3 linked regions of the Canis lupus familiaris genome follow. The protein of the gene in region 1 interacts with the protein of each later gene in a pairwise test. Links are inferred from orthologs where the notes say so. Each region holds a gene or a part of one and is shown on either strand. Other genes may lie near its edges. The genes, in order: GFAP, TRIM27 and ZC2HC1C.

Evidence for each region.
Region 2: the proteins of GFAP (region 1) and TRIM27 interact in binary tests that used the Homo sapiens proteins (3 or more experiments, as listed by UniProt). The two-hybrid records come from large-scale screens. The link is inferred for Canis lupus familiaris from reciprocal best matches to the Homo sapiens genes GFAP and TRIM27.
Region 3: the proteins of GFAP (region 1) and ZC2HC1C interact in binary tests that used the Homo sapiens proteins (3 or more experiments, as listed by UniProt). The link is inferred for Canis lupus familiaris from reciprocal best matches to the Homo sapiens genes GFAP and ZC2HC1C.

The regions. Positions count from the first base shown.
Region 1 is NC_049230.1:18,455,907-18,459,617, forward strand, and holds the start of GFAP (glial fibrillary acidic protein), read left to right. Parts: upstream 1-880; 5' UTR 881-906; coding exon 907-1,370; intron 1,371-2,254; coding exon 2,255-2,315; intron 2,316-2,509; coding exon 2,510-2,605; intron 2,606-3,690; coding exon 3,691-3,711.
Region 2 is NC_049256.1:27,401,689-27,405,335, forward strand, and holds part of TRIM27 (zinc finger protein RFP), read right to left. Parts: intron 2,512-3,647; coding exon 2,281-2,511; intron 1-2,280. UniProt on the Homo sapiens protein: E3 ubiquitin-protein ligase that mediates ubiquitination of various substrates and thereby plays a role in diffent processes including proliferation, innate immunity, apoptosis, immune response or autophagy.
Region 3 is NC_049229.1:48,486,729-48,490,475, forward strand, and holds the start of ZC2HC1C (zinc finger C2HC domain-containing protein 1C), read left to right. Parts: upstream 1-1,190; 5' UTR 1,191-1,278; exon of another isoform or gene 1,279-1,341; intron 1,342-1,422; exon of another isoform or gene 1,423-2,092; intron 2,093-2,182; 5' UTR 2,183-2,201; coding exon 2,202-3,527; intron 3,528-3,747.

The sequences.
Region 1 (3,711 bases):
TCCAGTGTGAAAGTGAGGTGAGGGGTGGTGGGGAAACTGGGGGATGGAGCAACAAAGATGGGAGCTGGGACAGCCAGCTCATCTATAACTGCTTTGTGCAGCTGTCTAGACCGGGCTCTAGGCAGGGGTACAGAGAGGCCAGGCACAGGGGAAGTGAACTTGGTGGGACAGAGGCAGGGGCTTAAGTGTGGTCCAGGGAGAAGGCCAGGGAGTCCAACACCTGCCCTTCTTGCCCCTTCAAAACTTCTATGTCCCTTCCTTCACCCCCCACCCCCTGCTGGACAGAGGCCTCAAATGACCCTCTAGACAAAGGGCTGGTATCCAGTTCCAGCCCACAGCCCCAGACCTCCGGGGAAGGGGGAGAAAGCAGGAATGCAGGACGCCTATGTTCAGAGCAGAGAAGTCCAACAGTCCACTAGGATCGGGGCTCAGCACTGTAACACGGGCTGCTTCTTGAGAGTATGGAACACATTTGCTGTTCGCAAATTCCAGCACTTAGCAGGCACTAGGAGGAGTGCTGAGCCGGGAAGGCCTGCTTTATGGGATCTAAGAGGTGGAAAGCGGTGGAAAGCGGGTCAGAGGTCATCTAATCCAGCCCTTTCTTGGCCCAACTTCCCAGAGAAAGGGCCTCCTTGCCTAAGTGGTCAGGGCCGCAGATGGAGCATCAGGCCCCAGGCATCGCCCACCAGCACCTCTGTCTGTGACCCGGCTGGGGTTGGCGTGCCCACGAGGCCCAGCCCCTGGGCACAGTGACCTCGGTGGGGTGAGAGGAGCCCCCCCGGAGCTGCGGCCCAGCCCCTCCCCCTCAGGCCATGCCAGGGGGCGTTGCCAGGGGCAGCCGGGGCCGTGCCAGGCAAGCCCTCGCCTCCATAAAGCCCTCACTTCCCGGGAGCGGGCAGGGCCAGCATGGAGAGGAGACGGGTCGCCTCGGCCGCTCGCCGCTCCTACGTCTACGTCTCCTCGTGGGACATGGCGGGGGGAGGCCCGGGCTCCGGCCGCCGTCTGGGGCCGGGCCCCCGCCCCTCCGTGGCTCGGATGCCGCTGCCGCCAACCCGGGTGGACTTCTCGCTGGCCGCGGCGCTCAACGCCGGCTTCAAGGAGACACGGGCCAGCGAGCGCGCCGAGATGATGGAGCTCAACGACCGCTTTGCCAGCTACATCGAGAAGGTGCGCTTCCTGGAACAGCAGAACAAGGCTCTGGCTGCTGAGCTGAACCAACTGCGGGCCAAGGAGCCCACCAAGCTGGCCGACGTCTACCAGGCCGAGCTGCGAGAGCTAAGGCTGCGGCTAGACCAACTCACTGCCAACAGCGCCCGGCTGGAGGTCGAGAGAGACAATCTGGCACAGGACCTGGGCACCCTGAGGCAGAAGTGAGGAGGGGGCCCGGGGTGAGGGACCTCCGGAGCAGGGAAGACGCCCGCCCCTCGCAGGCCCAGGACCTCAGGCGGAGCCTCTGACTCTGTGATCCTTGGCTCCTCTGTTTACCCATCTCCGGGAGGGGAGGGCTGTCCTTGCTCCCCAAGATGAGAGGGACTGGGAGGAGGCCGAGTCCCAAGGATCTGACTCCCAAAGACCTCTTGCAGAGGAGCCACGGTGCTCTCAGCACCTCCCCTTTGGGGAAAGCCATGTGGGAACAGTCAGGGACCCCCATAGGCAGGGTCTTCATGTTTCATTCGCTGCCGCTGGGCCTGGTGCCCTTGCAGAGCCCGTGGAGTGGAGAAATGGGAAGGGAAGATTGGTGTTCACTAGGAGGACGGGGCTCTGGGGCAAAGGAGGAGGTGAGGAAAAGAGCAGGTGAGCCTGGCTTGGAAACACAGGTGATACTGCCTGTCACCAGCTTATGATCCTGGTCAAGCCACTTTAGCTTGCAGTGCTGTGAAGTAGAGATTCTAATAAACCTATTTCCAAAGGTCAGAGGAAACCCCAGGGACGTGGCGTTTTGCTGAGCTGGCAGGGCAGGCATGTGTGCCCTCAAGTACAGGAAGATGAGTGTGCATGCAGCAGTGAGTGTATGTTGGTGAAAGTGCCTGTGTGAGCAGGAGCAGGTGCACCAACCTTGATAAAGCACTTTAGTAATGAGTTAAAGCACAGGCCCTTATCTGCTCACCCTCCTGGCCAAGGCTCTGTCTGGGACCCTCTGCCCTTCACTCCTCCTGTCATTCCACTGGGCCTAGGGGTAGGGGTGGGGGTCTCTCTGGCAGCCACCTCCAGGGAGATTGGGGCAGACACCCGGGAATGTGTCCCCCTACCCCAGGTTCCAGGATGAAACCAACCTGAGGCTGGAGGCTGAGAACAACCTGGCCAGTTATCGACAGGTGAGGGGGGTGGAGGGGAGGGATGGGGGAGGGGGGTAAAGAGTTGATGGCAGCTCACTCACACAGCCCCTAAGCCCAGCCCTCCAGAGCAATGTGCTGCTCTCCCCAGCCACAGAAGGAGGGACCAGACAAGACATGGGAGTGGGGAGAAGGAGTCTGGGGTCAGAGCAGCCTTTCGTCCCTCCCTGCTCCAGGAGGCAGATGAAGCCACCTTAGCCCGTCTGGATCTGGAGAGGAAGATTGAGTCTCTAGAGGAGGAAATCCGGTTTTTGAGGAAGATCCACGATGAGGTAAGGCCCTCAGAGAGATTGAAATGGATAGAGAGACAGAGACAGACAGAAAGAAAATAAGCATAGGGGAGACAGACAGAGAGATAAGAGAGCATCCTTAGCCCCTGATGAAATCCATAGACACACACCACTTACTAAGAATTATAACAGAACTTGTTGCCCCCCCCTCCTTTTTTTTAAAGATTTTATTTCTTCATGAGAGACATAGAGAGGCAGAGACATAGGCAAAGGGAGAGGCAGGTTCCCTATGGGGAGCATGATGTGGGACTCGATTCCAGGACCCCAGGATTAAGACCTGAGCCAAAGGCAGACGCTCAACCACTGAGCCACCCAGGTGCCCCACCCCATTTTTTATTTCACAACAGCCCTGTGTGATAGGAACCCTTCCGGTATTATTTCCTTTTCACAGAGGAGGACGCCGAAGCCCAGATATGTGACTTGCTGAGGTCACATAGTCTCTCTGACATCACCCCCACTGCCACCTGTCTCCATTTAAATGCGAGCCACTCATTTTATTTTTATTTATTTATTTATTTTATTTATTTATTTATTTTTAAGATTTATTTATTCAGAGAGGGCGCAAGAGAGGTAGAGACACAGGCAGAGGGAGAAGCAGGCATCATACAGAGAGCCTGATGTGGGACTTGATCCAGGGTCTCCAGGATCACACCCCGGGCTGCAAGCGGCGCTAAACCGCTGCGCCACCAGGGCTGCCCGAGCCACTCATTTTAAAAAGACACCACTGAGATCTGACTTCAGATTATAGATTCATAATCTATGATGCCATGGAACCTGGGACCCTGCAGACACACCCACACCACAGGGACTCAGTTGCTCTCCATAAGAACACAGGCACACTTTCAGTGCTCCTGCCTGGTGGAACCTGGGAGGAGGACACCATGAGGCCCCCAAACTACCCTCTGCCTCCCCTGGCCTGGGCCATGCCACTTCCTCTAATAGGACTGCCCAATTTCCCTTAGCTAACATCAATGTCCAAGGGGCAGGCAGGCAAGGGCATGATATTGTGGGGAAATGCCAGTTGCAGCCTAGGCCCCAAGCCCTGGCATCCCTTCTCTCCTGGCCAGGAGGTGCAGGAGCTCCAGGAG
Region 2 (3,647 bases), on another chromosome or scaffold:
TCTTTAAAGTGAGTGACTTTCCTGATTCCTGTTCTGCGGCCACAGATGACCCTGCTCTCCCACGTCAAGACAATAAAAGCTACCATGTTTTTGCTACCAAACCTCAACCTGCCTGCATCCCCACCTCCCCCCCACCCTCCTCTCTTCCCAAAGATCTTCCAAAACTACATCCTATACATGTGCTTAGTCCCCTTTCCCTTCCATCTTTTCTGACACAGACATTAGTGATAAGTTCATTAATTTTACAGCTTCAATGACTTTCCTCACCCAGATCCTTACAACAGACTCTCCTCCCACATGATCTCTGACAATATGTTTAGTTTGTTTCTTTAAGCATCCCTTCCCACAAAGTCCCACAATCCCCACCTCTCCTTATGGTCTTACCCCTTAACCCAGACACCCATTCCTACAGTGGTCACACACCCTGCCAGTCACCACTGTCCCTAGGATGGTTCCTTAGGGAAGTGTTAAGTGTTTACTGTGGCACTTCTCTCTGAGGGCATTAGCAATGCCCGTGGCTTTAAACCAAATGCGTGTCAGCCCTTAACTGCATGAGACTCTGCTGTCCACTCCTCCTTCCTGGTCACTTTCTGCTTCTCTGATCAAGTGTTCACTTTGCAAACTCCTCCTTTCCTCCCTGGCAATTAAATACTGGTGGTCATTAAGGCTCAAGGCTAGGCCTTCTTATTAGTCTAAAGCAGGACTCAACAAACTTTTTCTGAAAAGCCAAATAGTACATATTTTGGGTTTTTAACTCTGCTCTGCTGTGGCAGTGGGAAAGTAACAATGCACACAGTATGTACAGGAATCCAAGTGGCTAAGTGCCAATAAAATGCAGACAACAAAGTTTGAGTTTTATAGAATTTCATATACCATGAAATAAAATCTTCAGATTTTCTCCAAACGTTTAAAACTGTAAAAACCAGGGGGCCTTGGGTGGCTAAGTTGGTGAAGTGTCTGACTCTTGATTTTGGCTCAGGTCATGATCTCCGGGTCATGAGACTAAGTCCCACAATAGTTTCTGCACTGAGTATAAAGCCTACTTAAGGTTCTCTCTTCCCAGGACACCTGGGTGGCTCAGCAGTTGAGCCTCAGCCTTCGGCTCAAGGTGTGATCCCAGTCTGGCAATCGAGTCCCGCATCGGGCTCCCTGCGATGCACCTGCTTCTCCCTCTCTCTCTCACTCTCGTGAGTGAATGAATGAATAAATAACATCTTTAAAAAAAATTCTCTCTTCCCCTCTTCCTCCACTCTTCCTATTAAAAAACAAACAAAAAAAAACCCCTCCCAAACTGTAAAAACCACTTAGCCTGAAGGACATACAAAAACAGGTGGTGGAGTGGTTTGCTGACCTGTGCCCTATGCCATCATCCCTTTTAATGGCATTTATGAACACCCATTACACCCACTGTTCTCTTTATTTTTTTTTTTTTTATTTTTTTTTTTTATTTATTTATGATAGTCACAGAGAGAGAGAGAGAGGCAGAGACACAGGCAGAGGGAGAAGCAGGCTCCATGCACCGGGAGCCCGACGTGGGATTCGATCCCGGGTCTCCAGGATCGCGCCCTAGGCCGAAGGCAGGCGCCAAACCGCTGCGCCACCTAGGGATCCCTGCTGTTCTCTTTAGTACCTGACTCTGACATTAGAATATACATTTCAGGACAGCTTTTCACCACTTAATCCCAGTGCCCAGAATACTGCCGGACCCAGAAAAGACAATTCATATGCACTCAATGAACAACAGCACATTTCCTGTGGCCTTGCCAGGTTAGGTCAATGCAGCTTTGTAACTACACCCAGCTTAAATCACAGGGACCGCTTGGGCCAACCACCTGCTCCAGTGCTCAGTTTTGTGGCTGTGCTAATGTACACATATATGTTAAAATTACAGGACATTTCACTGAGTATCTTTACTCAAATCTTTAAATGGCATGTAGGCTGAACCTCCCATTACACCAGGAGTAGATCAGGTCACTGAGGCCCAGAGAGGTCAAGAGTGTGATCAGACCACGTGTGGGTACAGGACAGGCCTAGGCATTAGGTCTTCCTCTTGCCCTTCCCGTGAGACAATGCAACTGACCGATCCAAGTTGTGTCAACTGGAACTTCTGTTATGCATGTTTTCTCTCTGACAAGCCCAGAGAGCTGAGCTAGGGCTTGTTACTCCTAGAGTTGACCGGGGCGGGGAGGGGGAGGTGCTCCATACTGCCTAGCAAAGAGGGAAGGGAGACTTTTTGGCAGGAGCCACGTTGGTGGGACACTCCACACCTCCATGCCTTACCTGCAGGAGCTCCCTGGTGGGCTGCTGCTGCTTCTCTTCTAGCTGGGCAATCAGGCTACTCAAGTGGGAGATGTTGCAGGAGAACTGGGTGATGGCACCGTTGATGCTGTTGTAGATGGCCAAGTCTAGCTCCTCAAGGCGGGCCAGGAGGCGATACTCATGTTCCTTCAAGGAGTGATAGAGCTGCTCAAACTCCCAGACAATCTTCTCCCTCTCCATCTGGGTCAGGCTCTGCGTAGATGACAGGGGAGGGTACTGAAGGACAGAAGGCTCCCTTCTAGAGCCCTTCATGTCTGTCCCTGACTACCTACCCTGAGACCTCATCATCTTGTCCCGGCATGCTAAAACAAGCATCCTGTTCATTCACTCCTGGTCTCAGGCTTTACCGACTAGACACAATGGCTGAGAAGTGAGTTACCCCAGAAATAAGGAATATAGTCACAGGAGAGCCCGGTTCACATGACACATGCAACCACAGGTAGTGAGGACAGGATGGCCTGCAGTGGGAGAAGCTGGTACAGCCTTCACAGAGGCAATGTAACACACACAGTGTGGTTGGAGAAACAGGGGTTCACCATGTGGTCAAAGGGTAGACACGCTTTCCTGGCAGAAGAAACGACGGGAGAGATGGTGAACGATGGTGTCTGGCAAAGCACCTAAGTTTTGAGGGAGAAGCCAGAAGAGGTAAGAGAGAACACACCTTGCCTGGAAGGCCAGGGTGGGGCAAGACTTTCCTGCAACTAGGAGCCGTGAAAGGGAAGTGACTGGGTTCAGATATATGCCATGTGGGGTGGACTAGGACACTCAATCCTCGCATCATGACTGCAACCACGTCACCAAGGCCCTTCCCGTGCGGCCCTCACCCCCTTTCTGGCCACCAGGGCTGTTCATCACCTACCCTCATTGGCTATGGGTGTGGTGCCCTTCTGGAACAGATGTTTGCCAAAACTAGTCTACCCTTCCTTCTCTATCTACCTCCCACTGCCAAAACCCTGAGGCTCTCTGCTAAACAAAGTGTCAGCAAGCTCCCTTTGTTTACTCCTGGGGAATTAAGTTTTCCTGGGGCCCAGCCACACCCATCATTCACATATTATATTATGCTGCCTTCAGCTGTCACGACAGAGTTGAGTAGTTGTGACATAGACTAAGTGGCCCACGGAGTCAAAAATCCTGACTATGTGGCCCTTTACAGATGTTTGTTGACACCTGTCCTGAGCTCCACTCTTCCTGAGAACCTTTCCCATGACCCACTCTTCTCACCACCTTCCTAAGCACTCTCTGTGCAACACACTGAGGAGTGAACACAAACCTATTTCGCATCCTTTTGGTAAGGTCTCACCTCTCCTTACCTAAAGTCTTTCAAAGGC
Region 3 (3,747 bases), on another chromosome or scaffold:
GATAGATACAACTCGAAGTGAATAAGGTGGAGGGGTAACGTGATGGAGTCAAGTCCAGGAGGGTACAGAAAGGGACTGATTCAACAGACCACAAGGAAAGAGAAAGATTTTCTTTTTCCTCAGACACCAGAGGGAAGGAATTCAGGATGAAGGGAGGCACTCTGGGCAATTCAGCCAGACTGGAGGGGAGCTGCAGGAGTTGATGACAGGCAGGCCAGATGCTGACATAATTAGGGCCTGGAGTGTAGCGGGAAATGTCTGAAACTGCAGAGAGAGAAGGCAGTTGAGTCAGCTATGAAAGAAAATAAGGAATCAAAGGACTGGCCCGGAGGAGGGCCCACCAAGGAATGTCTCTGTAACATGTAAAGCTGTAATAATGACATGCTGAAGCATCAACACCGACTACTGCTGTCCATTTTATGTCCCAAGTGCATGAATCTTTTTGAGTAGTTACAGGAAAAAAGTAAACCGCCTGTTCCAAACATCTTACACAAACGAACTAAAGCATGAAGACAAATAAACCCCTTTCTAATGTTAACAAGTCACAGAATGTCGTTCAGCGCTGAGGACCAGGTTACACCGATCATTTTCAATCCGGTAGTTAACTTTATTATCGTTACACTTGGCTGAGTCACCGTTGGGCCTCACGAAGAGACGGGCCAGGGTTACCACGTGAGAGCAAAACATCATATCAAAATAATTAGATTGGCTACGAAAACTACCTCGGAAAAGACCCTGGGCGGCACAACTTCGCCGAGCAGCTGACGTCCGACCGCAAGCTCCCAACTGCGGGCTGGGACGGGCGGGAGGGGCCGCACACCCGGGGCCCGCACGGGGCAGCCGAGCGCGCTGAGCAAGGCGACCAGCAGGCCCCCTGCCGCCGGCCGGGCGGACGCCGCAGGCCTGCACCGCGACTCCCGGGCCCTTCCCGGGGCTCCGACTCTTGCCAGAGAAGGGCACGCCCCAGGGGCTGGGAGCATCGTTCTCAGAAAAACACACGTTCTTTGATGGAGCCCCAGAAACGCCTCTCCCGCCCCCTCTCCCGTTCCCCAAGGGCAGGGCGGGACGGAGCCACGGAGTCGGCGGGACACCGGGTCAAGGGACACTCGCCCTGGCCACACCCCCGTCGCGGGCGCCTCGGGGCCGTGCGCGGGGCTGGGTGCGCACGCGCTCGCGTCTCCAGGCAACGGGAACAACAAAGGCCCGCGCAGAGCGCCTGCGCGGCGGGCGGTTGAGGCTCGGCCCGGGGGCGGTCGGGGGTGGAAAGCTAAGTCTTGGGTGGGTTTATTTATTTATTTTTTTTCTTTTCCCCTGAGCAGGAACGGTCCGCCAGAGCCTCAGGTAGGCGTAAGCAGACGAGGGGAGCAGACGTAGGGTCAGCGCCTCGCCTCCCAAGGGCGGCCGCATGGGCAGAAGAGCGAGGGCTGTGTTCCCCAAGCGGAGGCCCCAGCGGGGGCGCCCCTGCTGCGGACTCTGGGGCGGTGCGTGAGCTCAGCACCCGTGCGGCGGGCGGCGCGGCGGCCGGGTCAGGTGGCCTCCAGCTCTCAGGTTACGATCCGCGCCGTGGGGATCCTGGGTGCGGGTGTGACGGCCGGGCACCTGCGGCCGGCCCGGGCGGCTCGAGTGTCCTCTGGAGTCCAGCAGCGGGGAAGCCCTGAGAGCGCCTTGTGCGGGCCACCTACCTCCGAGCCGCAGTTTGCTCACCTGTGACACCGTAGGCCCGGACTCAGAGTCCTAAGGTCTTGTAACTCTGAGCGAAACTTCAGTGGATAGGTGAAGAAGCCAGCCAGCAAGGGAAAGTTGCTGGTCCTGTGTCACAGGCCTAAAGCCTGACTTTGAGTCCGACAGCCCTTTCCAGTAAATCTTTCCACCACCTAAGGAGTCTCCTGTGTATGGCAGGAGCATCGCTGTGTATGGCAGAGGCTGGTACTGGAATAAAGCGAGGTGGCGGGAACACCCGTGTCACATTCGTTTTTCTGTCCTCAAGATCTAATAGGCACCCACAGGAAATAATAAGCATTCACCAAATCCTTACTGAAGGAAAGTTCTGGCAGACCCAGCACCACTGTCCCTAAAAAGTTCAAGAGAATAGGTAGGACAAATGTATAAACTGTTTACTTTAGTAGCCGGGGGTAACCTCAGAAAACCTCCTCACAATATATCTGGTTTAAATCTCCCCTAGGCTTCAGTCCGGTCCCTGAATGGCTGGCCTCCAGTTGGCACCACCTCTGCCTGTGGGCGTTATGCTTCCATATAATGAAAGGGAAGCTCCAGGGCTCCTCTCAGCTAAGCAAGAGCCCTATGAAAAAGGTGACTCTTCTCAGCGGTCCTCCATGGGGCACCTGAGGAACAATTTCCAGCAGAAGCTTTTGAGCAACAAAGAGCTGACGCTGGATAATCTCTACACTCACTCCAAATGGAACGCCTGCACAAAAGCTGGGAGCTGCTCCTATCCCCACTGTGTTGGAATCAGCCAGCAAGATTCAAGAAGCGATTCCCAAGGCCAAGCAAAGGGTTCGTTTTACTCAGCAAATTCTCAGTCCTGGTATCCCAAAGCAAATAATCAGGAATTCATCCCCTTTACGAAGAAGCGAGTTGGGGTAGACCGGGCATACCCGCTGAAACCCGTGTTCCATAGGAAGTCTCACAGTACAAGTGAAGCTGGCATTGATGGGGACCAGGATGTCTCTCCGAGACCCCCTGAACCAAGAGAGTTTCCATACAGCAGCTTTGGTTCAAGGAACTGGGTGAATGCATCTGTGCTCCATGCCATTGCTGCCACACAGGAGGAGAGAGCCATGGCAAACCCCAACAGGACCGAATGGATGCAGATCCAAAGACTAGAAGCTGCAGGGGAGAGCTTACAAGAGGAAATCCGGAGAAAAGAAACCCTCCTTAGGGAAAAGCTGAAGAAGACAGAGGAGGAACTCCGAAGGATCCAGAAAGAAAAGGAACAGGCTAAGGAAAATGAAAAAAGAGAGCTACAGAGAATGACACTCCCCAGGAGGAGAATTAAAGGTAATAGCAACACCACATACAAACCTACCTTCTCCCCAGAATTCGGGTCTGAGGAGGTCTTCAGTAGAGACAGGGGAGAAGATGAACTTTGGGGACAGTCTCAAGAAAATTCTGGTCCATTCCAGTTCTCTGATTACGGAATACAGAAGCTCAAAAGGGAAAGACTGGTGGCAAGCAATAACAGAATCCGAGACCTAGTCTCAGAGTCATCAAAGGAGTTTTCTCAGTCTTCAGAAGGGCCTGGCAGTGTTTTGTGGGGATCCACCAGCAATTCTAGTTTGTCTAGGGGACCAGACTCTTCGGTTTCCAGCTGTTCCACTGAAGACCCCAAACTTGGCGAATGTAGCCACTGTGGACGCAAGTTTCTCTTGGTCAGACTGGAGAGACACTCCAACGTCTGCAGCAGGATGCAGGGTTCCAAGAGGAAAGTGTTTGACTCCTCCAGGGCCCGGGCCAAGGGCACAGAACTAGAGCAGTACCTGAACTGGAAGGGGCCAGCCCCAGTCAAGGTAAAAAGGCCAGGGCCTTATGGATTTGACTTTGGGGATCATTATAAAAGGATGCTAAATCAGTTTTCTTTAGAAAAAAACTCATGTGTCATACAGGGAGAAAGAACATTTATTGATTACTGTGTGCCAGTCACTGTGATAGGAGTTTATCATAAGATCCTCAGCACAACCCTGTGAGGGTTTCGTTGTCTCTTATCAATTCAAAGATCAAATCTCAGAG